Linked DNA regions of Ovis aries. The protein of the gene in region 1 interacts with the protein of each later gene in a biochemical or structural test. Links are inferred from orthologs where the notes say so. Each region holds a gene or a part of one and is shown on either strand. Other genes may lie near its edges.

Region 1 (11,119 bases):
GGGAGACAGAGACTGAGGGCCGAAGGGACAGAGGTGGATAAGCACCAGAGACATTGGAAGAAAAGGAATACAAATCCAGCCAGCGCAAGAAAAACAGAGTTGGGGGGTAGGGGAGGGAGGAGGAAGGAAATGCAAAAAGAGGCGAGAAAGAAATACCACCCGTGCCCCTTCTCGGGGCCGCACGGGAAGAGGAGGGAGCAAATCCCCGACCGACTGTGCTCTTCCCGCCCCTCTTTTGGTTTTGGCGGGGAACCTGTCGCGCGGAGGTGGGGTGCTTTTTGCAAACACCCTCTTCTTTCAACGTGCCCCCAGCCTGCCGCCACATACCCACATACGTACACCTGGAAATCTGGTGGGGGTGGGGGTGCGGGAGTGATCAGAGCTGGCAGAGAATTATCCAAAGGAACTCAGCTCTCCCTTTCAACACACATTCACCACCACCCCCGCGGGGGTGTCGGTCTACACCCAGCAAATCCACCTGTGTTCTGTGGAGCCGCTGGAATGTCCAGTGACCCTTTACTCCCACCAGGACTGGAGATGGGTCATCAGGGAGGGAAGAAGATGATCCAGGCCCTACCTCCCTGCACACTGTACTTCCTTTTGCTCAGCTGGACTCAGCAGTGAGGTGGGGGTCTAGAAGGGAGGCCTGGCTGAGGCGGTGTGGAGCCCGGACATTGGAAGAGTAGTGTTCTTAAGGCCACTGGGCTCTGGGCGCCCATCCACGAATGTGAGGAAGGGGTGTAATGATGGCTGGGGAACTCCTCCAGCACTCACCCATCTCCCTTTCCCACTTCAGTGTTGTCTTCTGGGGAACAAGAGGAATACCTCATATATGCATTTAAAAGCACTATGCAAATGCTTAAGTAAACATTATTATAGGCAGAGAGACTGGGCCCGAAAGGGGACTGCCTTGCCCAAGGTCACAAAGAGTGGGACTAGAACTCCAGTCTCTTTGCAATCCTCCAGTGCATGCATGCATGCTAAGTCGCTTATCTGCTTATCTTCGGTACACATATATTCATATATCTCATATATCCCCCATATATGTCCCTCCCATATATCCCCCCATCTCCAACCAAGGACATTGCTCTCCTCCTCAACCACACTCCAGGGTGACTGCAGGCAGAGTGATTGCATTTCCACTCTCTCCCAGTTCTTCCATAACATGCAACAACCGCCACCACCCCTACACACACACACAAACCGAAAACAGAAAAACTATGAGACTCCGGGTCCAGAGTGTGAAAATATTTGTCACTTTTAATAAAACAACAAAAACATAACCAACTCGACAGGCTTTATAAGACGTTCAAAATAAAGTTTCTGCTATCGGAATTATATAAGTGGGGTATTTTATAACAGAAAAAAAATACACAAAAATCCAACTCAGCCCCAAGCAGAGAATTCATTCCTGGCAGCCATTCTGCCCCTGCACCGCTCTGGACTAGTTGGCCTGGGAGCCATCCTCCCACCCCAGAAGAAAGATGGGACCTTCTGAAACCTCCAGATGTCACTCAGCTTAGTTGCCACCAGACACAGCTGATGAATAATCACCATTCCAATTATGCTCCTGCCCTAAGTCTGCCAGCCCCATGGGCTGGACCCCAAAACGACAAAATTCCCTTAGACTTGGTATACCCTGGCTGCAAAGGCAGTAGGTCCGCAACACTTCATTGGAAGCGAGTTTATGATTATGGTGGAAACAATAGGTCTATATCCACAGAATGGGACTGCCAAGACACTTCAGTCACTAGAAATGCACCAGAAGTATACCACTAGAGACTTCCTGGCTCCCCTCAACAGTGAAATGCATTGGAAATATACAGTCCTCTGGCAAAACATACAAGCCCCAAGAGGCTGGCTCCCTACCTTACTATCCCCACGCACCGTTGTGCACCCAGTGACACGTGCTTCAGTCTCAGCTTCTAAATGAATGACGAGCAGTTCACTATGCAATCGCCAAAATGAGCCCAAGCTCTCCTGCTTATACCTTCTGATTCATTCTGAGGCTCTGTGTAGGATCAGATCTCAGGGGGTGGGGGTGGTGGGAGTAAGTATTTTAGATGAGTTGACTCTGGCCCGAATGCTCTCTCCAGATGCCTATAAATATCTGTATCTCTCAGACTCCCCCTGAGAAACCTATAATTGGTCCCCTGGGCTTTGTGGCCAACCTCTCCCCGCCCCTCCTGGGACCTCAGGAAAACCCTGCTTGCTCTCTGCAACCAGGATCACCCAAGGCCAGGGATCCCGACTCTTGAGGAAGTCACTGCAGAATTCACTTTCGGTGATCGGTGATTAAACCCGATCACTTGGCTTTGGTTAAGATTATCGAAACGAAAGCCTAGTGATTTTTACTTGTTTTTATTAGGGAAAATGAAGAAGGGGAGTGAGAAGATTGCAGATTTTGAACTGAACAGCGCTGGACTATTCGACCATTACAACTCCTCTTTGTGCGACCAAATCCCAGCTCCAAGCCCCCTACCTCGGCTCATCTCCTGTTGCCAGGCAGGCAGCCGGATCATTTCCATATGTGTCTGAAGGAGACCGGAGAACCTGAGAGCTCTAGGGGCAGACACCTGGTTTCTGGCAGTTCCCCATCCCCAGCAGGGAAAATTTTTTGTGTAAAAGCAGCCTCCGCCATGCCCTGGGCTAGAGCCACTGCCTTAGACTTGGCCTCCAGTCGGTCCCTCATACTGCATCCACACACACCCCCACCCCGGCATGACCCCCTAGGGGAGCCCCAAGCCTGCACACAAACCACAATCACCCCAGAACAGAACCACTTTCCCGCTGCTACTGGTGTGGAGGGGTGTTCGAACGCAGCCCCACCCTAGGCCTGAGGCCCCCGACTGGGCCCACCCAAGTTAGGACTGCGTTAGCCAGGATGGCTGCGGCCTTCTTCCTGCCGGGGCCCTCCCCTCCCCACTGCACACAACCTGACCTATCCGAATACAGCCGTCCCAAAGTTATGAGCCTTGTGAAACATTTACGGAACCATGGAGCATTAGGGGGAATACAGTCCAACTAACTGTTCTTATGCGGGAAAGGGCCCTGCTGGAAGCCACAGTAGCAGAGGCCGCAGTCAGTGGCAGAGTCAGATCTCAGGATTCCCAGCTCTGGGTTCATCCTCCTCTCCCCCTCCCCAATCTGAAACTGGACTGTCCTCTGTCCCCAGCTTTCCCCACCTCAGGCCAGATCCCAAGGCCTTCCTGGTGACTGTTTCCATCAGCCCTGTCATCCCCCCAAAAACTCACCTGGGGCATATTTAGAGAGACAGGCCCCTCTGAATAGGATCTCCACTCCTCCGGCCAGAGAGAGGTGGGAGTCGAGGTCCAGGTTGTGGACGGGGGTCTTTGCTCTCCCCGTCTCTCACCGAGAGCCCGGCAGTTAGGCCAGTTAGGCCGCGGTGTGGTCCTGGGCGGTCTGCCGCGCCCAAAGCGAGTTTCCAGGAAAGATGGGGGTGGAGAGAAAGGGAGGGCAAGAGGGAGGGAGAGAGAGAAATGGGGGTCAATGGCTGGGAATTACCTCATGTCCTCCTCAACCAACCCTGGGGATCGCCAGCAGCTTTCCACCCCCGACCTGCAGGTGTTTGAAGCCTCCCCCACACCCCCAGAAAAAAGAACCCGGCACCTGACCAATCAGGAATAACTACATAGTCCAACAACAACAGCTCGCGGCAGACTGCCCTGAACATTATCGGACCCTCCAACCCGGAGGGTTCAGTGTGGCTCGTTTGTTTTCTAACAGCGGTTGGCTCTGGAACCGAAGTCAGGCGAGTCAGAGCTGCGGCCACAGCACCGGAGTCGTCCGCAGCCTGGCTTGGGTGGGTAGGGGGATGTGTGTACCAAAAGGGGGATCCAGTCTTTAGACCGTGGTCGGTGGGACAAAACCTCTGAGAAGCCCCATTCTCTCTCTGACTCTCACCGCCCCACCTCCAACCTAAACCGAAACCAGAACCCAATTCCAAAGACTACTTTCCCGAAGGGATACAACACAGTCTGAACCGCAGAAATCAGAGAGAATAGGGGGAAGGGGGCAGAGAATCTGATGTATCCAGGTCCCTTTTTTTTCTTCCTACCGATTATGGGAAACAAACAAAAAAGGATGAGGAAGGGGAAAATAAGGAAAGAAATTAAAAAAGAGAGAGAAGGAAGGTCCTGCCTCTCCCTCCAACCATCCCTACACAAAATTTTCGATTCTTCCGTATTCAAGTCAGCAGAGTACAAGAGAATTCTATTAATTCTTTGCAGCAGTAAACAAGGAAAGGAGGGAGGGTAAAAATAAATCAAATATTGCTTCCCAGGGTGTAGTGGCAGGGAAATTTAGTTTGCCTTTTTTCTTTTTTTTCCTCTCCCTGTGGAAGGTTTTGTTTAATTTGTTTTGCTGAAATCGTACAGTTTATGGCCACACATCGAAGTCTTGGATTAATAGCTAATGCCACCTTTTTTTGCCCTGGCTTTAGTGAAAATACAGTAATAATTGTTCCCTGCAGTTTCAATCCAATGCAGATTTTCTTTCTCCTCTTCTAATTCAAAAGGGGGGAGGGGTGAGAACAAGGGGAAATCCAGTTGTGCCCGGTGTCTTAGGTCGGGGTTAATTTTTGCTTTAGGATGGAGTCTCTGTGCTCCTCCCTCTCTCCATTTCTCCCCTAGTCACAAACCCAGCAACTTAAAAAAGAGAGCGCTGGTGGGAGGAAACCCCCGCTGCTTTGTTATCGCCCCAAAGAAGCTAAAAGGGACTAGTCGCTCCTACATGACTATTTTAATTAAAATATGATGGTGATGACGATGACTGTGATGGTGATGATGACATTAGCAACCACAACCACTGGCAAAACAAAATCCTTTCTTTAGGAGCTAGGGCAGCACTGACCTAGCCCGGCCCTGGTCATCGATGCGACGGGGTATCTGACCCAAGCGGGAATGTGGCTCACCCGGGGAAGGGGTGGAAAAATGTTCCTTGGAGATGATCCCGAAGTCCCCACCCGAGGCGCGAGGCCTGGAGAATGCGCCCATTGTCTTTTCCTGGCCTCTCCCGCAGACCCCGGCGGCCGTACCCGTGAAACTGACCAGAAATGGACGAAGCCTGAGTGCCGCGGGAACCGAAGCTGGCGGCTACCGGCTTGAAGGCGCGGGCCTCCGCGAACGCTGCTCAGCTTCCAGCCTGGAAGAGGCTCCCACTCACTAACAAACCCCTCCAACACTGAGGCACAGACTGGCCTCCGGACAGAGCAGCCGCTGATCCAGCTGCTCATCCAAGCCAACACTGGCTTCCGAATACATCATAAATTGGAATAAAATGTGAAATCCCTCACCCCGCCCCCATGCCGCCTCCTCAACTTGCGCATCCATCTCTCGCTCGTTCGCCCTCCCCTCCACCCCCAGCGATTTACAAATGCACTTCCAAAGGACACTAGCACACAGCCACACAAGCCGGGGTGGACAAGGCCACTCGCGGACCAGCCGCATAGAAGGGAAGCAAAGTAAGCACAGCGCAACACTGCCCCACAAGCCGACTCGGTCAGGCCCAAACATTGTCCAGCAGGACACAACGAAACCGATCAAATGCAATCGCTCCTAGGCGCACGACCCAAGGTAGTCAGGATCACGGACGTCCAAAACAACGACGAGACTATCCAAACACAATCGAGATCAAGCAACCCAACATACATGTCGAGAAGGCAAACGAGCATAACTGTATCTACAACGATGAAAACGCAGAAGGGCCTCGGAGAATCCGAATCTATACACCGAACAGCACAAGCACCATCACACTTGGGACACACAACCTGTCGCCTGGAAGACCACACTCAGAAGTCAACACTGTCCATAGCTCACACACGCACTCTCAACAATTCCACTGCATGCCCACAACCACCAAGAAGAAACGAAAACCAACCACCGCCTCGCGCATTTCTGTATATTGCGTAAGAAAAAAGGGAAGGAAGGAAGAGAGTCTCCGAGACGGGAGGGGCGGCGACGGCGGCGGCGAGCGCAAGGGCGTCCCTGGAAAATGCCCCCCCATCGAAAGAAACCGAGGGAAAAGGAGCGAAACCTTGTTTTTGCGAGCGGGCAAAAAGAGGGAAGAAATTGATGGGGAATTCCATGAGAGGCTGCAGGTTGCCTTCCCCTAGAAAAAGGCCAGAATGCTCACGTTTTGCCGCTACTGGGGGACGCGTGTGGCCATTTTGAGGCCTGGTCCTTAGTGCCGAGCCCTCCCCTCCCCCCGGCCCCGTCCCCGTTCCCCCGCCCGCCCGCGCCGCGCCGCGCCGCGCCCGGCTCCTCCACCGCCGCGCTCTAATCCCGCTCACGTTCTAGGCCTCGTTAGCATGGGCCGAGGCGCGCGGGGGCCGTGTGCGCCGCGGAGATAAGGCACTGCCGCGGGTCCGCTCGCCCCCGATAAGCGCCTCGGCCATTATGGGCCAAATGATTCATTTTAATTTGGCAATTTCACCGGAGGGGAGTGGGGACTGGTTGCACGGCTTTGGGACCGGCCCCGGAATGCGCCACGGAGAGAGCTGGGCTCTGTGTAGGACCCGGCGGGTGCAGCCTCATTACAGATCCCGAGGCCTCCCGGATCTCCCGGCTCCCCACAACCTCAGTCCCTCCTCCTTCGAGACACATTTCTCCAACGACTCGCATTTCAGCCAGACCACAGCACCCAAACGGTCACATCTAACCCTTCCTTCCCTGACATCTATTCATTCTAGTGTCCTAGATACCCGAATTTCAAGGGACAGTTCCTCTTAGCCCAGAAAGCTCCCCAGCTCCCACCCTTCCCACTCCCATCCCCCCTGAACCTTGTCTCTTTTCTGCTCTAAAATGGAGCCTGCTTGCCTGAATGTCTGGACTGAGGTTTCTCCAACGGGCTCTAGGGAGGAGGAACTGGTGACAACTAAGTGTTTAAAATATCCATTCTACTGAGTTTCAGGCTGAGCCCAGAGCTCGGGAACATTTAACATTTTAATCTCACTACTGAAGCACTGTGGGCTTCCCTGGTGGTTCAGTTGGTAAAGAATCTGACCACAATGCAGGAGACCCAGGTTCAATCCCTGGGTCCGGAGGATCCCCTGGAGGAGGAAATGGCAACCCACTCCAGTATTCTTGCCTGGAGAATTCCAAGAACAGAGGAGCCTAGCGGGCTACAGTCCATGGGGTCACAAAGAGTCAGACAGGACTGAGCGACTAACACACACTGAAGCCCTGTACAAATACTAACTGATTTCGTTCTCACAAACAATTCTAAGAGGTTGATGCGGTGATCTTCACCTAACAGATAGGGAAACTGAAGCACAGACAGGAAAAGTAATTTCCCCAGTGTTACAGATCTATTGAGTGGTGAAACCTGAGTTTGAAGCAAATTTGGCACCGGAATCCTCCAGAGCCCATCCAGAGCCTAGGCTTGGAGGACAGATATGGGCTCAACTCATTGCAGGAGCCCAGATCTGTACTGTGTCCTAAAAATCTGGGTTCTGTGAGAGGGCAGGCAGTGAAAAAATCTGGCTTAAAACTCAACATTCAAAGAAACGAAGATGATGGCATCTGGTCTGATCACTTCATGGCAAATCGGGAAAGAATGGAAACAGTGACGTTTTATTTTCTTGGGCTCCAAAATCACTGTGGATGGTGACTGTAGCCATGAAATTAAAAGACCCTTGCTCCTTGGAAGAAAAGCTGTGACAAACCTAGACAGCATGCTAAAAGGAAAGACATTACTTTGCTGACAAAGGTCCATATAGTCAAAGCTATGATTTTTCAATAGTCATGTACGGATGAGAGTTGGACCATAAAGAAAGCTGAATGACGAAGAATTGATGCTTTTGAACTGTGGTGTTGGAGAAGACTCTTGAGAGTCCCTTGGACTGCAAGATCAAACCAGTCAATCCTAAAGGAAATCAAACTTGAATATTCATTGGAAGGACGGAGGCCAAAGCTGAAACGCCAATCCTTTGGCCACCTGATTAGAAGAACTGACACATTAGAAAATACCCTGATTCTGGGAAACATTGAAAGCAAGAGGAAACAGGGACAACAGAGGATGAAATGGTTGGATGGCATCACTGACATCCAGCTTGCTCACTAACAGCTCTGTGAGATGGTGAAGAACAGGAAAGCCTGGCATGCTGCAGTCCATGGATTCGCAAAGAGTCGGACACTACTGAGCTGCTGAACAACCACAAGGCAGTGGGCTCAGCCTATGGAAGGTATATAGATTCATTGTTTTACTGTGGAAGCTCAAATACTACAAGTCATGTAGATCTGAACCTCAGCTTTCTTATCTGTAAAATGGGAGGGTAACAACCCCAGAGAACTGTTATCATTATATATCATTATATAAAATGATCTTTAAAAGGTGGTGAGGGCAATAATTTATGGAACCTTGCCCAGGCTGACATCCTATGCACTTGCACATAGGAGTTCTGGTTATCATTACAGAGAAGGAAATTAGGTCATGAGGAGACGTGACTTTATCAAAGCTTTCAGTGACCTAGAGGAAAAGCCAAGACCCAAACTCAGTTATCCCGTTCCCAGTCCCCAACTCTACCCACCAGGCAAGGCTTCTTTGTCCTTCTAGCATCTTGGTTTTGAGCTCCTTTTGGAGCCTGAGAATTCACGGAACAAGTCCCATTCGAAGACTGAGTCCAGAGTGTGTCCAAAGCCTGAGTCCAGCTCCTCCTTGTCTATCAGGTAACTCTCTGTAAAGATACAGTTAATTCAGTGCAGCCTGTTCCCTCTGTTTCTCTTGTGCTCTCTGGTGGAAGTCAGGATACCATGTGGACATGGGTAACTTTACAGAATCCTATGGAAGAGAGGCTACCCATGTCCTGGGAAAAAGTCTAATTCCCGGACGTGCCACAAAGCCTGCTCTGGCCCAGCCACACCAACTGCTGGGCAAGGGACTCAGGGGAGAGGTCTATGTGGTTCACTCAGCCCCATCTCCCCAGGGCTCTAGCCCTGCTTCACCCACTGTTAGTTACCAAATTCTACCCCTTTATTAGTCTTCTTCATTTAAATATTTATTTACTTGACTACACTAGGTGTTAGTTGTGGCATTGCAAGATCTAGTTCCCTGACCAGGAATTGAACCCGGGGCTCCCTGCTTTGGGAGCAAGGAGTCTTAGCCACTGGACCGCCAGGGAAGTCCCTGCCCTTTTCTTTCTTGAAACCTCTCTGCAATGGGGGTGGGCTTTCATCTCTCCCGTCTCTGGTTTCTGTTGCCTTTGCTTGGCTGCATCACTAAATAGAAAGGGTGGGATTCAAATAATTCCAAATTTAAAGCCCAGCGCTACCACCCTTGGGCTATGGCACCATTGGGCAAATCATTTCACATCTCTGAGCAACTGCGAAAAGGGAGAGCCCCGCCAGGGAATGCTTTCTTAGAATTGATGCCTGGGCTGAGATGGGAGAGTAGGCTGAGGGGTAGCTTAGAGGACTGAGCACTGAGAGCCTTCCAGGTAAACCAAGGGCTGGAGGAGAAGAACTTGAGGTTCATAAAAGGAACAGAAAACAGTCCAGTAATGGCTGAAGCAAGGCTGTGGACAATTCAAAGAATTGAGGAGGGGACCATCATGTTTATTTGGTTGGGTGTGGGAGCGTAATGTCCTATACAGGATCAGATTTGCATTTCTAGAAAGCCATTTGGCTGCAAGGTGGAGAAAGGGTGTGTGGGGGTGGGAAGGATGTGGGGAGGTCAGTTCTGAAGACAATGCAGTGATTCAAGGAAGGGGGATTGGAGAGGGGACGGGAGGGGACGAGGGTTGCCAGGAAAATGGCAAGAGGTAGATGACATGTATTTAGAACACAAATCAGGTGTAAGATTTGGTTTGGCGGGGTGAGGGGCAAGGAGAGATCCAGGAACCCTCTGGGTTTTTGGCTGAATTTGCCTCGATGGGTGTGTTAGTCCTGGTGATGGAGGCTTGGAAGCCAAAGGGAACGATAAGGGATTCTGCATTTGGTTTTAAATGTCTCGAGTTTAGGTGCCTTGGAGGAACCGCCAGGCTGTTGGGTTATTTTACAGGGCATTAAACGACCCCGCCGGGCACCCCAAGGGCTGTGAGCAAGGAACAGGGACAGGTACGGCTTTTGTCAGCCCTGCTGCGCAGAGAGACGCGTGGTGAGGTGACGTCTCCCCATCCCCCTCTATCCGCGAAGCTCCAGATTCTGACCGTCTGGCGGCCATCGCGACCCGGCCCCCAGCCCCCCGCCTGGGGCTGGGGGCTCGTGACGTCTACACTCGCCCCCCTTCCCGGTTTCCGACGGTCGATGGAAAAACGGAAACGGCGCGCTGAACGGAGCGCCGCCCGAAATAGCATCTGGGGCCTGTCGGTCAGCGCACTGTCCGAGTGTCCGGGAGCGAGTGACGCTACCCGCGGCCCCGCCAGGAAATGCCACCCCTCCTCCGCCCGCCCCGAGCAGGGGCCTCGCGCGGGCGGGCAGGAAACCCGGAGCTCCTGGGCTGGGGATGTCGAGGTGGAGGGGACGTGAGGAGAAAAGGCCTGGGAGAAAAGACCTGGAGGGAACTTCGAGCCCGGCTTTGGGCCTGAGGGCGTCGCCGTCGCCACTCTCTGACCTGTCCCCCACCCCCACCAAAGGCCGGGTTCGCCTCCAAACTTGAGGCTTTAAATTTTTTGGAAGTGTTTCTGCCTACCCCTGTCTCTGGGTACAAGGCAGTCTCTGAGCTTTCTCCCCAGAGCTCGTTCCCTGGAGGGATGTGGTGTGTGTGTTTGTGCACTGTGGTGAGCAGCCAGTTTATTTTCAATACATGTACATGTTGGTACTAGGTGTCAGGTGCCGGCCTTAGCTTCATAACTATTAATTCAGTTGATCCTTAAAACAGCCCAGAGAGGTAGGGACTACCAGGACCTCCATTATTGTAGGTAGCCAACGGAGGCCCAGAGAGGTTGAGCAACTTGCAGAAAACACCCATCTGGCAAGAGGTGGAGCCAGTCTGCCTTCAGGCTCTGCTGCTTCCAAGGGCAGCAGAGCAAGTTCAAGAGTAAGGCAGTCTTGAGTTCCTGCCCTGCTCCCTCACTGGTCAGCTGTATGTTTCTAGGTAAATGACCTACTCTCTGAGTTTCACTTTCCTCCTCTGTGGAAGGGAGATGATAATTGTCTATACA
Region 2 (10,954 bases), on another chromosome or scaffold:
GAGTCTAAACAAGCTTCCCTGGGTTGGGTGGTCCTAATGTATTAAGGCTGCATGCTCCACAGACCCTATACCCCACGAAGATGGCAAAAAAAACTGACAGCTACACAGTCAAGCAGATTTGACAGCAGAGGGCATAGAGTTACCTCTGCCGCAGCTAATATGAAACTGGAAATTTCATATGAAACTAGAACATTCCAGGCAAAGGCACTTGTTTGAGAGTCGGAAAATTCACATAGCCAAATGTATGACCCAGAGTATCTGAGATATCTTCAGTGCCTCTCTCAGCGGGTGTTCTAGAGTTCCTCTTCTGCCTTTCCCTCCTTCCATCACTTTGTTCATTAGGTCGGGAAAGACTCTAATGATAAACGTCATGAGGGTTACTGAAAGACAGCAGCTAACATCTATTTGATACCCATGCACCACGCCAAGCACCTTACATGTACCACCCCATCTAATTCCCACCCCTTTCTGGAAGCAGGTACTGCTATTCTATAACCCCATTTTACAGATGAGGAAACTGAGACTTAGGAAGGTTATATAACCTGTCCAAGGTCACAGAGCTAGAAAGCAGTGGTGCCGGGGCTCAAATCTACAGCTGACTTCAGGGCCTTCCTGCTGTGACCAGAACTGCTTGGAGTGCTGGAGTGAGATTGTACTTTCAATTTTTTAAAATTTATTTTTAATTGAAGCATAATTACAATATTGTGTGGTGTTCTGCCATACATCAATATGGATCAGCCATAGGCATACACATGTCCCCTTCCTCTTGAGCCTCCCACCCCATCCCACCCCTCTGTGTTGTCTCAGAGCCCCAGATTGAGTTCCCTGAGTCATACAGCGAGTTCCCACTGGCTATCTGTTTTATATACATTAGTGTATATGTTCGGAGAAGGCGACGGCACCCCACTCCAGTATTCTTGCCTGGAGAAACCCACGGACGGAGGAGCCTGGTAGGCTGCCGTCCATGGGGTTGCGACGAGTCCGACACGACTGAGTGACTTCACTTTCACTTTTCACTTTCATGCATTGGAGAAGGAAATGGCAACCCACTCCAGTGTTCTCGCCTGGAGAATCCCAGGGACGGGGGAGCCTGGTGGGCTGCCGTCTATGGGGTCGCACAGAGTGAGACACAACTGAAGCGACTTAGCAGCAGCAGCAGTGTATATGTTTCCATGCTACTCTTTTAAAATATATCATCACATTATATCGAGATCTTACAAAAGAATACTTAGAACCTATGCATATGTTTTTGAAGCATCAAATGAGCTGCTAGGAATCTACCCTCAAACTTACAAGCTTCAAAACTCCCAGTTCCCTTGGCATACCCCGCATCTTCAAATGAGCTGCTAGGAATCTACCCTCAAACTTACAAGCTTCAAAACTCCCAGTTCCCTTGGCATACCCCGCATCTTCCTCCTCCCACCCTCTCCCCTTGTCTGACCTCCAGAGGGAACCACTATTCTGAATTTTGTGCTCATCACTCTCTTGCCTTTAAAATATGAGAACTGGACCACACAGGCATGTGTCCCTGAGAACATGCTTCTCTAACAGGAAGAACGGCCAACTGCTTCCCGCACAGGGCAGCTGAGACCAACGTGATCTTGGCTGGCCCAGGAGGCAGGGGCCAGGGAGACAGAGCCAGGGCCCCAGGAGGGTGGCGAGGACGCACCTGAGATAATCTCGGCGGCAGAGCTTCCGGCCCAGCTTGTAGTAGAGGCGCCGGCCCACCTCGCCCAGCCGGCACCCGCAGAGGTCACAGCTGAGGCAGTCCTCGTGCCAGTACTGGTCGATGGCCTTCAGGAAGTAGCGGTCCCCGATGTTCTGCTGGCAGCCTCCGCATGTCAGCAGGGACGGGGGCATCTGCAGCACCTCGTCCACCGGCTCCCTGGAAGGAAGGCCACGCATTAGGGATGGCCTCACCTCGGGGAGACCAGCACCAGGGGCTCAGGAGTCACACTGCGCCCCGCAGAGAACCTCACTCAATTGTCTGGTGACATCGGAGAAAGGAGGGGAGGAGCATACACCTAGGGCCGACGATGGGCAGGGAGGCCCCGCCAGCCTTGGGTTAGGACAGGAAAGGGGCTAGCCCCTACGTTCTAGATCCTAGAAGAAGCAAGGGCGGGGCACCAAGAGGCACCCAGGCAAAGGGTACTGCACACCCCCGTCCACCTACAGCCCAGCCCCCTCCCAGACCTGTGGTCTCTCTTCTTCTTGATCCCCCCTCCCCTCAAACTCTACCTCCACACCTCATCTCTTTCCTCCCCCCATATCCCGGAGCCAAGGGCACTGCCCAACCCCAGAGGAGGCACCAGGACTCTAAGAGCTGCTTGTGGCCAGAACAGTGACTAACTAGCGGATTAAACATCTTCAAATTCCCTTTTGAATCTCTGCGCCACCTGGACTCCATCCCTTTCCAACTGCACGAATGTAGAGGTGAGGAAGAAAGGGTCCCCAAATTATTTTAGGTTGCTTTCTCTTTCCCAAATAAAAATACCATCAAGATATAATAGAAATTCTCATTATTATTATTTTTAACAGAAACTCCACATCCTATCCTTCTTACGGAATGAGTCCTTGAGGAAAAAATCTCAGGTGTTGATTAAAGCCACTGTTATATTTATAAAGATCAAACAGAACTTTTTGCACATGAACACTTTTACAGCAGCAAATCTGATTCGCATGAAGTTGATTTAGGAAAGAGAATGGGGAGAGAGTGTGGAAGGCAATTAAACACTGAAATCTCCTCCAGGCAATTGTTAAGAGTGAGCCTGTGACATGTGTTCTTTCATTACAAAATCATATAGTGTCCCCAGTTCACTTAACTGGAATCTGAATCCTTTTGTTTTACATTTTAAAAGAAATAACTCTACTTGCCAGAAGAAGATAAAAAAATAATAGGGTGCGAGAAATGATTCCTGCACCAGATGGGACATGGGAAAAACTGAGTACCTGTTGATCTGTAGCAATTAACAAATGCTCTCTTGAACTTCACTCAAACACAAATCTATTTATCAAAAATCTGTTATGTTTGGAAAAATGGACTTGCTTCTAACTGTGAAACTCCCAAAGGGAATTTCCCCCTTGGTACCTTGAGGATATAAATCTGTGTCTCCTATTTCCAGCTGATGCTGGCTTACTTGGTGACCTTGCATCCTGACTGGCCTGTGCCCACAGCATTTAAGGCCCTTTATACTTAGGAAGGATGAGGCTCAGGGAATCAGTGTTGATAACACACTCTGACACCTTCAGAGAACTGTCTTTAAAGTGCACGCTTCCCTGTGAATATTCAAGCATATTGAAACCGAGCCCACACTTTGCAGAATGGGTATGAGGGTCCTTTGTGAGATGATCTCCTTTTAGCCCAGGGAACTGTAAAACCCAAACTAATTATCTCCTAAAAACTCCACACTTTAAATAGAGTTTTAAACATCCACTGAAGCCTGACTTGTCTTTGTTTCCACAGGTTATGTATAAGGACTTCCACCCTCCCTCCTGAAAAAATAAAACACCCAGCATTTCCCTGTGCCTCAGAATCACTTCTCTTCCCTTTTCACAGCCCGTGGCCTTATTTAGGCTTTCAGAAACATTCATGGAACCTCAACACCACTGGATGCCCTGACGCAGATCCTGCCAACCAACTGTGAAAGAAGAGAATTTGCACTTAGCTGGTGCAAAACTGCCTGGAATTGAAATGAACTGCTCCTGTTATTCACAGGGAGGCAGGAGGGGCCACCGACGGCACAGTAGAGGAAATCTGTGTGTGTGTGAATTCTGGCTGTCTTTCTGTCTAAATGTTTCATTTGCATAGGCCTAGGCAAGTTTCTGGGTGTAATTTGGAGTTGCTGATCAGACTGACCTCAGTCACACTGACCCAAGTATGTACTCACTGAAGCATCTGGTAGGGTAGTGGTCCACAGGAGGAAATGTTAAGCCAAAAAGCTACTGTCTGTGATGGCCTAATATGAGATAGGAAAGGACTGAATAAGATATTGGCTCTATCTTTCTATAATTAAAGATAATATCACATTATCTTTGGTGGAGGTTCCAAGCCAATAACTGTGGGACTCACCCTCTAATTAATATTTTACATTCTCCTAGAGCCTATCTGAACATTACACCTCAATACACTTTGGCCTGGATTTCTGGGATAATTTCTCAACAGTTTCCAAGAAAGATATGGGGGAAAAATGTTCTGCAATAATTTCTCAGCTAGCTGGTCCATCTCCAATTAAAGCCTATCTTCACTGGGCAAATAGTGAAGCAAAGGATAGAGAAGAGCACCCTACTGAGCATCCTTCCGCAGATGCCTGCTGTGTTATGAGGTGAACATGTTTCAATTTTCCAGTCTCTTTGTGAAAAAGCACAAACTTTGAAAGGAGCAACCTTCCTTCAGGGAACTGAAACCTCCAGATTTATCTTCTAATAAAAAGATTAGTGACTAAGTTCTATTGATCGAAAAGGCATTAGGCACCTTTCAAAGGTAATTCATCCAATGCACTCTCTTATTGTATTACTATCATCTTGCCCAGGCTCTGAAAACTCAGGGCTAAGTTATCATTCTAGGTTTGTAAAAAAAAAAAAAAAAAAAAAGTGAGCAAAGCACCCTTCCCAGAGTTTTCCTAAACAAATACTTAAAAAAAAAAAAAAAAAGCAATGTTATTTTTTTCCCTGAGAATTTAAGGAAGCTGGGTTTTTGTTAGAACAAACCTGACTCCTTGTAGATCTGGCTTCTGAACCTTCAAGATTGAATAGTGATGTTTATATTCTCACTGGATCATGGTTACTTCCTGTGTTTTATGAGAACACGCTGAGCTTTTATGCTGGTAAAACCCAGGTATATAAACACCATAGGAGGCTGAAATTGGGAGGAGGAGGTATTTCAATCAGGAAAGCACAATTCTTTTAAAGCAGGAAAAGAAAACAAAACAAAACAAATGCCTCTTAAAAGCACAAATGGACAAGTCATTAACCAGCTCCTTTGGTCTGTGTAACAAATCCCTTCAAAGGATTTAGATGGGGACTTCAAAGGAATAAAAATTCTCAAAACCAGACAGCTAATGAATCTTAAAAGGGCATTTGCGCTGACGGGAAAATGACATCTTAAACATCCCTCTCTCCCCATGTTAACACTGAGCAATGGGCTCAGAAAACAAATGCGGTTCATTTAGAGCTCTGTTTCCCAGACCCTAAACCCTTTGAGATTGTGACAAAAGCCGTTTAAGACTCCGCTCTCCGGAAAAATTCACCTATATCCAAAATGGTGCACTAACTTTGGAGGTTCAAAGGTACCCATCGGTGGACTCCGAGGGGAGAGGCGTGTCCGCGTATCCAGACTAACTCCCGTGTTGCTCGGCTGCTCTAAAGTCTCTGGAGGCCTGGGTGAGCTCCGAGGTGAACTCTCGCACCTCCTCACCCGTGGGTCCCCGGCGCCGTGGGCAACCGCTCCACCTGCGGACCCGGAAGGGGACCGTCGGGGACCCGGGGTGGGGGGCTCCACTTGTAGTGTCCCCCTTTCCAGGACCAAACGGACAAAGAGAAGGAACGAGAGGGGAAAAGGGAGCAGAATCGAGTCCTGAAGGCTCTCGGGACTGCACCGGCGCGCCTCTGACCTCCCCTTGTGCATGCTCCTGTGCAAACTTTCTGGCCCGAAGTGGCTTTAGGGAGCGTCCCAGGGAGCCGCGAGGGGCCCGCTGAGGCGCCGGGCCGACCGCATTCCTGCCGCCCGCCACCAGCCCCTCTCCCAGTGTCCCCGGGGTCACCCAAGAGGATGCGGGAGCCCCGCGCACGGCAGAGGGAACCAAGGGCACGCCGCGGGCGCGCACCTGGAGCCTTCCCGCCGGCCGCCCGCCCCACCCCGCCGCTCCGGGTCGCGAGGCCGTGGACCCTCGGTGGCAGGGGCGTCACACTTACTCAGATGGGTCCAGGCTCTTCCTCTCGATGGCCGAGGACATTGGGGAGGGAGGTGGCGTGCCAGGCGGCGGGGGCGCTCCCTTTGTGGCGCGGGGCTGGCCGGCTGCCGGGGCTCGGACCCCCTCGGGTGCTCGGGCGCCGCCGCCGCCGCCGCCGCTCCTGCGCCTCTTCTTGCTCCGGCGCTCTGGCGGCGAGCTCGCCCCTCCGCGCTCAAGGACAGTCACCGCGCTCCCTTCAAACGCCAAAGAGAGAGAGCGAATCACCGGGCTGCCGGCGCGCCGCGGCCGAGGAGGGGACCGGGGCGCGCAGCCTGGCCCCGGGCGGCTGCAGCTGCTACTGCTGCTCAGGACTTAACCTTCCATCCCGGTCCCGCCGCCACTGCCGCCGCCGCCGCCGCCGCCGCCGCCGGGTCTGGCTCGGCTCGCGCGCTGTCGCCGGCTCCGCGCCGCCCGCGGGGATGGTGCGCGCCCGCCCGGCCGCCCCGCGCCCCTCGCACCTTCAGCCGGGGTCGCGGCGCGCAGCTCGCCGCCGAGGGCAGGGAGGGGGCGGCGGCCTGGGGGCGGGGAGGGGACCGCGCCTCTCTCCCCCGGCTCCCTCCTCTCTCGGGAAGGTCTATTTTCGCTCAGCTTCCCTCTGTCTCTGGTTTCATTTCCTTTTTCCTGATCACGATTCAAATACAATAGAAGGAAATCACATTTAAAGAGACAGCTGCCCGGTCCCCCCCGCCACCACCATCTTTTTTCTTCCCTTTTTTTTTAAACGGGGCTCCTGGGGATTAGCGATACAAACAGCGGCAGCCGCAGCAAGACTGAGTTGGCTTCTTAAAGGGGCCAGCGTCGGGGACAAGGGAGACTCGCTCAGAGACCACCTCTCCTTGGAGAGGCGGCTGGGTTGCCTGTGAAGCATTCTTTAGGGCTTTCCCTCTTCGGCGTTCCCCTTTTGGTTAACTAAGATTGAAAGTGACCAGCGGGCCGCTCAAGGAAGAAAGAAAAAACGAAAATGTGAAATAAACACATACAGAGATGTACGCGTTCCAAGTGGCTTTCGCGCGCGTCCGGGGTTGGAGGTCCCAGGTCCGCGGCCAGGGAACGCGGAGATGCCCCCAAGACAGCGCGGCTCTGCTGGCTGAGGACTTGTGACTGCGTCCGCGCTCCAAAAAGACGACGGGAGCTGTGCGAGCAGGGACCGCACGGGCTGGGTACGCCTCAGCAGCACCAGGGGCAGCTAATCCCGAGGGAGGGTGTTTGGGAGGGACCAAGCTGGTCTGAGTCTCCTCTCCATCTGCCGGCGGCAGAATTCCCTCCCTCAGCATCTTTAAAAATCGGACCCCTACAGTTAAACTGGCCCCGTAAAGGGCCAATAGCACTCTTCACAGAGAAAAGTGCCTCTCCAATGATGGAGAGCAATGCTTGGAGACTATTTTGCCCTGGGTCAGGAAAAGAGAGAGAACGCAGACTTGTTTGGTTCAGGCTTCCCCATCTAATCTCAAGGGCAAACTCCAAGAAGAGAGGCGAATGTAGAACGGGAGAGGAGGAAGCTAAAAGTCTTCTCTTCAATAGAGCAAAGCTTTAGGTCCCTTGGGCCTCATCAGAGATCCCTGAAAATAATTGCATTCAGAAATTATTACTAAAGGCCTACTTGAGCGTGCCACAAGTCTTGTAAAGAAGAAACTACCAGTATTCTCAGGATCCATGGTTTTATAGGAGCAGTCTAGATCATGGTCATGGACACTGTATTCCCTTTTTAAAGATGGCACTGAAGGGTCTGGATGAAATCACCCTGGAAGGTGAAGTCAGAAGTACATCCCTGTAGGCTTCGTTTTCCTTGTTTAAAGCTGATTCTAACTTCTTACATGCATACCTAGAATTTACCATTGTCTGCATGCTCTTGTCCTTTTCTTATGTCCATGTCCAAAGCTTAGGTCCCTATGGGTATAATGAAAATCTCTTCCTAATTCCTCCACTGTCTCCTGTGTGTGTGTGTGTGTGTGTGTGTGTGTGTGTGTGTGTGTGTGTGTGTGTGAAAGGAAGTCTTAAGAGCAGATTTGGGTCCAACTCAAGCCTTTCAATCTAAAAAGAACTTCTGCTCAGGTCCCTGTTTTTAATTAAAAAAGGAAAAATGTCTAGTATTTTTAAGTCAGTCTAAATTATGTGATAAACATATAACCCACCACTCTACAATCAAAAATGAAAATAAACAAATAGGCTTTGATGAGCAATTCACCTGCTTACAACCAATCAGTGTGGTGGTGAAACGCTCAGACTTCGGCATTGGACTGCCTGCATTTGATTTAGGCTCTTACTTATCAGCTAGTGGAGCCTATCTAGGAAAGTCACTTAATCTGAAGAGGCAGTATTGGGTAGTGGCTGTGGAGTCAGGCTGCCTTCATAACAACCCACGCTTTCCTACCTGTGAATCTAGTGGAAGAGCAGGAATCTATAAACTCCCAGGATCCTTATCTGTCAGTAGGGGTATGAGAGCCTGTTGCATCAACTGTTGTAAGGATTAAAAGAGTAAACGCATGCAGTGTGGCCCGTAGACCTGTAATGAACTGAGGATAATAATGGATATGAGATTACATGCCTGCAAAGCATTTGGTGTATATTAAGCACTCATAAATGGTCATTTCTGTGTTGTAGAAAAAAATCGCTGGGAGAATTTAGAGAGTTTGAAATTAAATTCACAGGTGAAATGGAGGTTAAAAATAAGAACTTCCCAATTTCCCACCTAGATTTGAAAACCTGTCCCATTTTTAAAAAGCAAACAGAATGGTGTCCTTTCACTTCACCTCCTTGTGCTAGTATACAAAACATACATGCATTTTCCAGTTCACTATCTTGATGACTGCGTGATGTGTTTTCATCTGCTTGCTTTTATTAAATCTGATAAGTTGCTTCCTTCCTTGCTATATAGTTTTGCATGGAGCCTAAGTTAGTTGTTAAATTAAATATATCCTTGGGTTTCAGGAGGTAACCTCCAAACGGCCAACTTTGGGACCTGAAGTTTCCTTTTAATAATATGCTTCTGTTTTGACCCGAATGTGTAAAGAAAGAGTGATTACTGATGACTTTGGGTCAGTTTCTTATCTTTCACTACTCTTTGGGGAGAACTTCCTTAGAGAAAGTGAATATTTGAAATGGTATCTTAAGATTTCAATTTCACACACAGTGGTTGTAAGAAATAACTGCCTGCCGGTGGGATTTCATTTCTATTCAACGGGCAATTAAATTGCTCAAATTTAAGTTTAACATTTAGAATCGAGTCTCAAAATGTGTTTTCATTATGAATAATTTTAAAGCAATCATGACCTTATTGTATCCTTCCATAGCAACCTTATGCTTTATGTAGAAGAACGACTCAGTAACTAGGAGGCAATTTGAACATGTAAAATGGTTCTTGAGAGTTGAGGAAATCTCGACTTGATCCCTCCCCAGTGGGTTTGCAATTTAATTCCTTTTACCCACCCTTGACTGCTTGCAAATCTTACATACCTTAAAATTTAGAAAATTTCCAAGTTTTCCTTCCTGACTATGAATGTCACAGGAAGACTGAATCAGTTGGCATGATGATTCTGACTCTAGGTGGATTACTTTCTTTCTGTTGGCATTTTCTATTCTTTTTGCTTATTATATCTACAATTGTTTTCTCAGGAAGAGCAGTTTCAAGTGACTAAGGCTACATTTCTTTGCTAAAATGGGCTTCTAGTAGAAAGGAAAATGCAAATGTCATTGGGAAAATGCCAAGAATGACAATTTACCTCTTCTGTTTTTTTTTGCAACCTTTAGAAGCCAAGTTGCATCATATACCTGTTAGTTATGACATTCACGTATAGGGACAAAAATAAAGATTTGTCTTATTATGGCTTCAGCTCCCATGGAAACTCCTTTAAACAACTCAGTTTTCACAGGAATCTGGTTTCCAAACTCATCTCAGAACATTTCAGGGCATGTTGATGGACATATTTTCAGAATGTTAGATCTATCAGTAACATTAGTGAAAAATAAACCAGTTTTCCTATATAGGAGAAAAAAGCCCGGTAAATCTTTTTCAAAAATCTTTATCAACTGAGTTTAGGAGATGAGCATAGGTGTCAGAAGGCATAACTCCGCTGTTTACTAGCTGGGTGACTTGGGGGAAGTCATTTCACCTCTCTGAACCTCAGATTCTATATCTCTCAAATGGAGGCAACAGTAAACTCAGCAGGGTTGGGACTAGAGTAAGGTCACAGGGATATCTGCTTACTTCACAGGGGTTTTAAGAGGATTCAATAGGGTCATGTGTATAAAAATGCTTTGCACAGTGATGTAAATGCTCAGAAATGATACCTGTTGTTATTACCCCATCTTTCAGAAGTCATCACTACTGTATCAGGAAGCAGCAATCTCCTAGCCAGTCAGGACATCCACCAAAGAATGCTGAGACTGGGGTGCTGTAGAAAAAGCTGAAGTGTACCTAAGACATCAGCTGGCTTCAGGCTTGGGAAGCCCCCACTTTCCAATCAGAAATTCAGGAATGTGACCATTTAGGTCCTAGGTAGGCTGTTGACAGCTTCATCACTTCCCTTCATCTGCTTCAGCCACAGCCCTGATTGCATGTTTCTGATTTTCCAGCAACTTCTAAATCACCTGTTAGGACTGAGATGAGAGACAAAGTCAAACTGCTTAAGTAACTGCCCCCAAATGTCACAAGTCCGCAGCGAGGTCTTAAGCAGAGTTAAACTCATGGCACGTCTGGGTGGAAGGAGCCTCTGAAATGTGGTTTCCCAGCTTGCTCCTTGGAGCAGTTTGAAGTGTTTCCCTAGTAGCCTCCACCCGTTCCTGCTCCAGCCACAGCAGCTCTGCACCTATTGACATGTTGCTCAGCCTCTCTGGACTTCAGCTTCTGCATCTGTAAAGGGGGCATATTCAGGGTACCTATCTCATGGAACTGCTATAACAATTCTGTGAAATGAGACATATTATATAAGGTACTTGGAAAGGAGACAGGCACAGAGTAAGCTTCTGCAGAAGATTCAGCTTATACAGAGAGATTCCAGCTTTAAAAT

What was found.
Region 2: the proteins of TAL1 (region 1) and LMO2 form a complex in vitro, tested with the Homo sapiens proteins (2 studies listed by BioGRID). The link is inferred for Ovis aries from reciprocal best matches to the Homo sapiens genes TAL1 and LMO2.

The regions. Positions count from the first base shown.
Region 1 is NC_056054.1:21,771,955-21,783,073, forward strand, and holds the start of TAL1 (T-cell acute lymphocytic leukemia protein 1), read right to left. Parts: upstream 6,210-11,119; 5' UTR 5,693-6,209; coding exon of another isoform or gene 5,670-5,692; 5' UTR 5,255-5,669; coding exon 5,070-5,254; intron 3,592-5,069; exon of another isoform or gene 3,531-3,591; coding exon of another isoform or gene 3,526-3,530; intron 3,424-3,525; exon of another isoform or gene 3,255-3,423; intron 2,028-3,254; exon of another isoform or gene 1,870-2,027; intron 1-1,869. UniProt on the Homo sapiens protein: Implicated in the genesis of hemopoietic malignancies. It may play an important role in hemopoietic differentiation. Serves as a positive regulator of erythroid differentiation.
Region 2 is NC_056068.1:63,293,048-63,304,001, forward strand, and holds the start of LMO2 (rhombotin-2), read right to left. Parts: upstream 6,415-10,954; 5' UTR 6,273-6,414; coding exon 6,266-6,272; intron 6,143-6,265; coding exon 5,911-6,142; intron 1,886-5,910; coding exon 1,670-1,885; intron 1-1,669. UniProt on the Homo sapiens protein: Acts with TAL1/SCL to regulate red blood cell development. Also acts with LDB1 to maintain erythroid precursors in an immature state.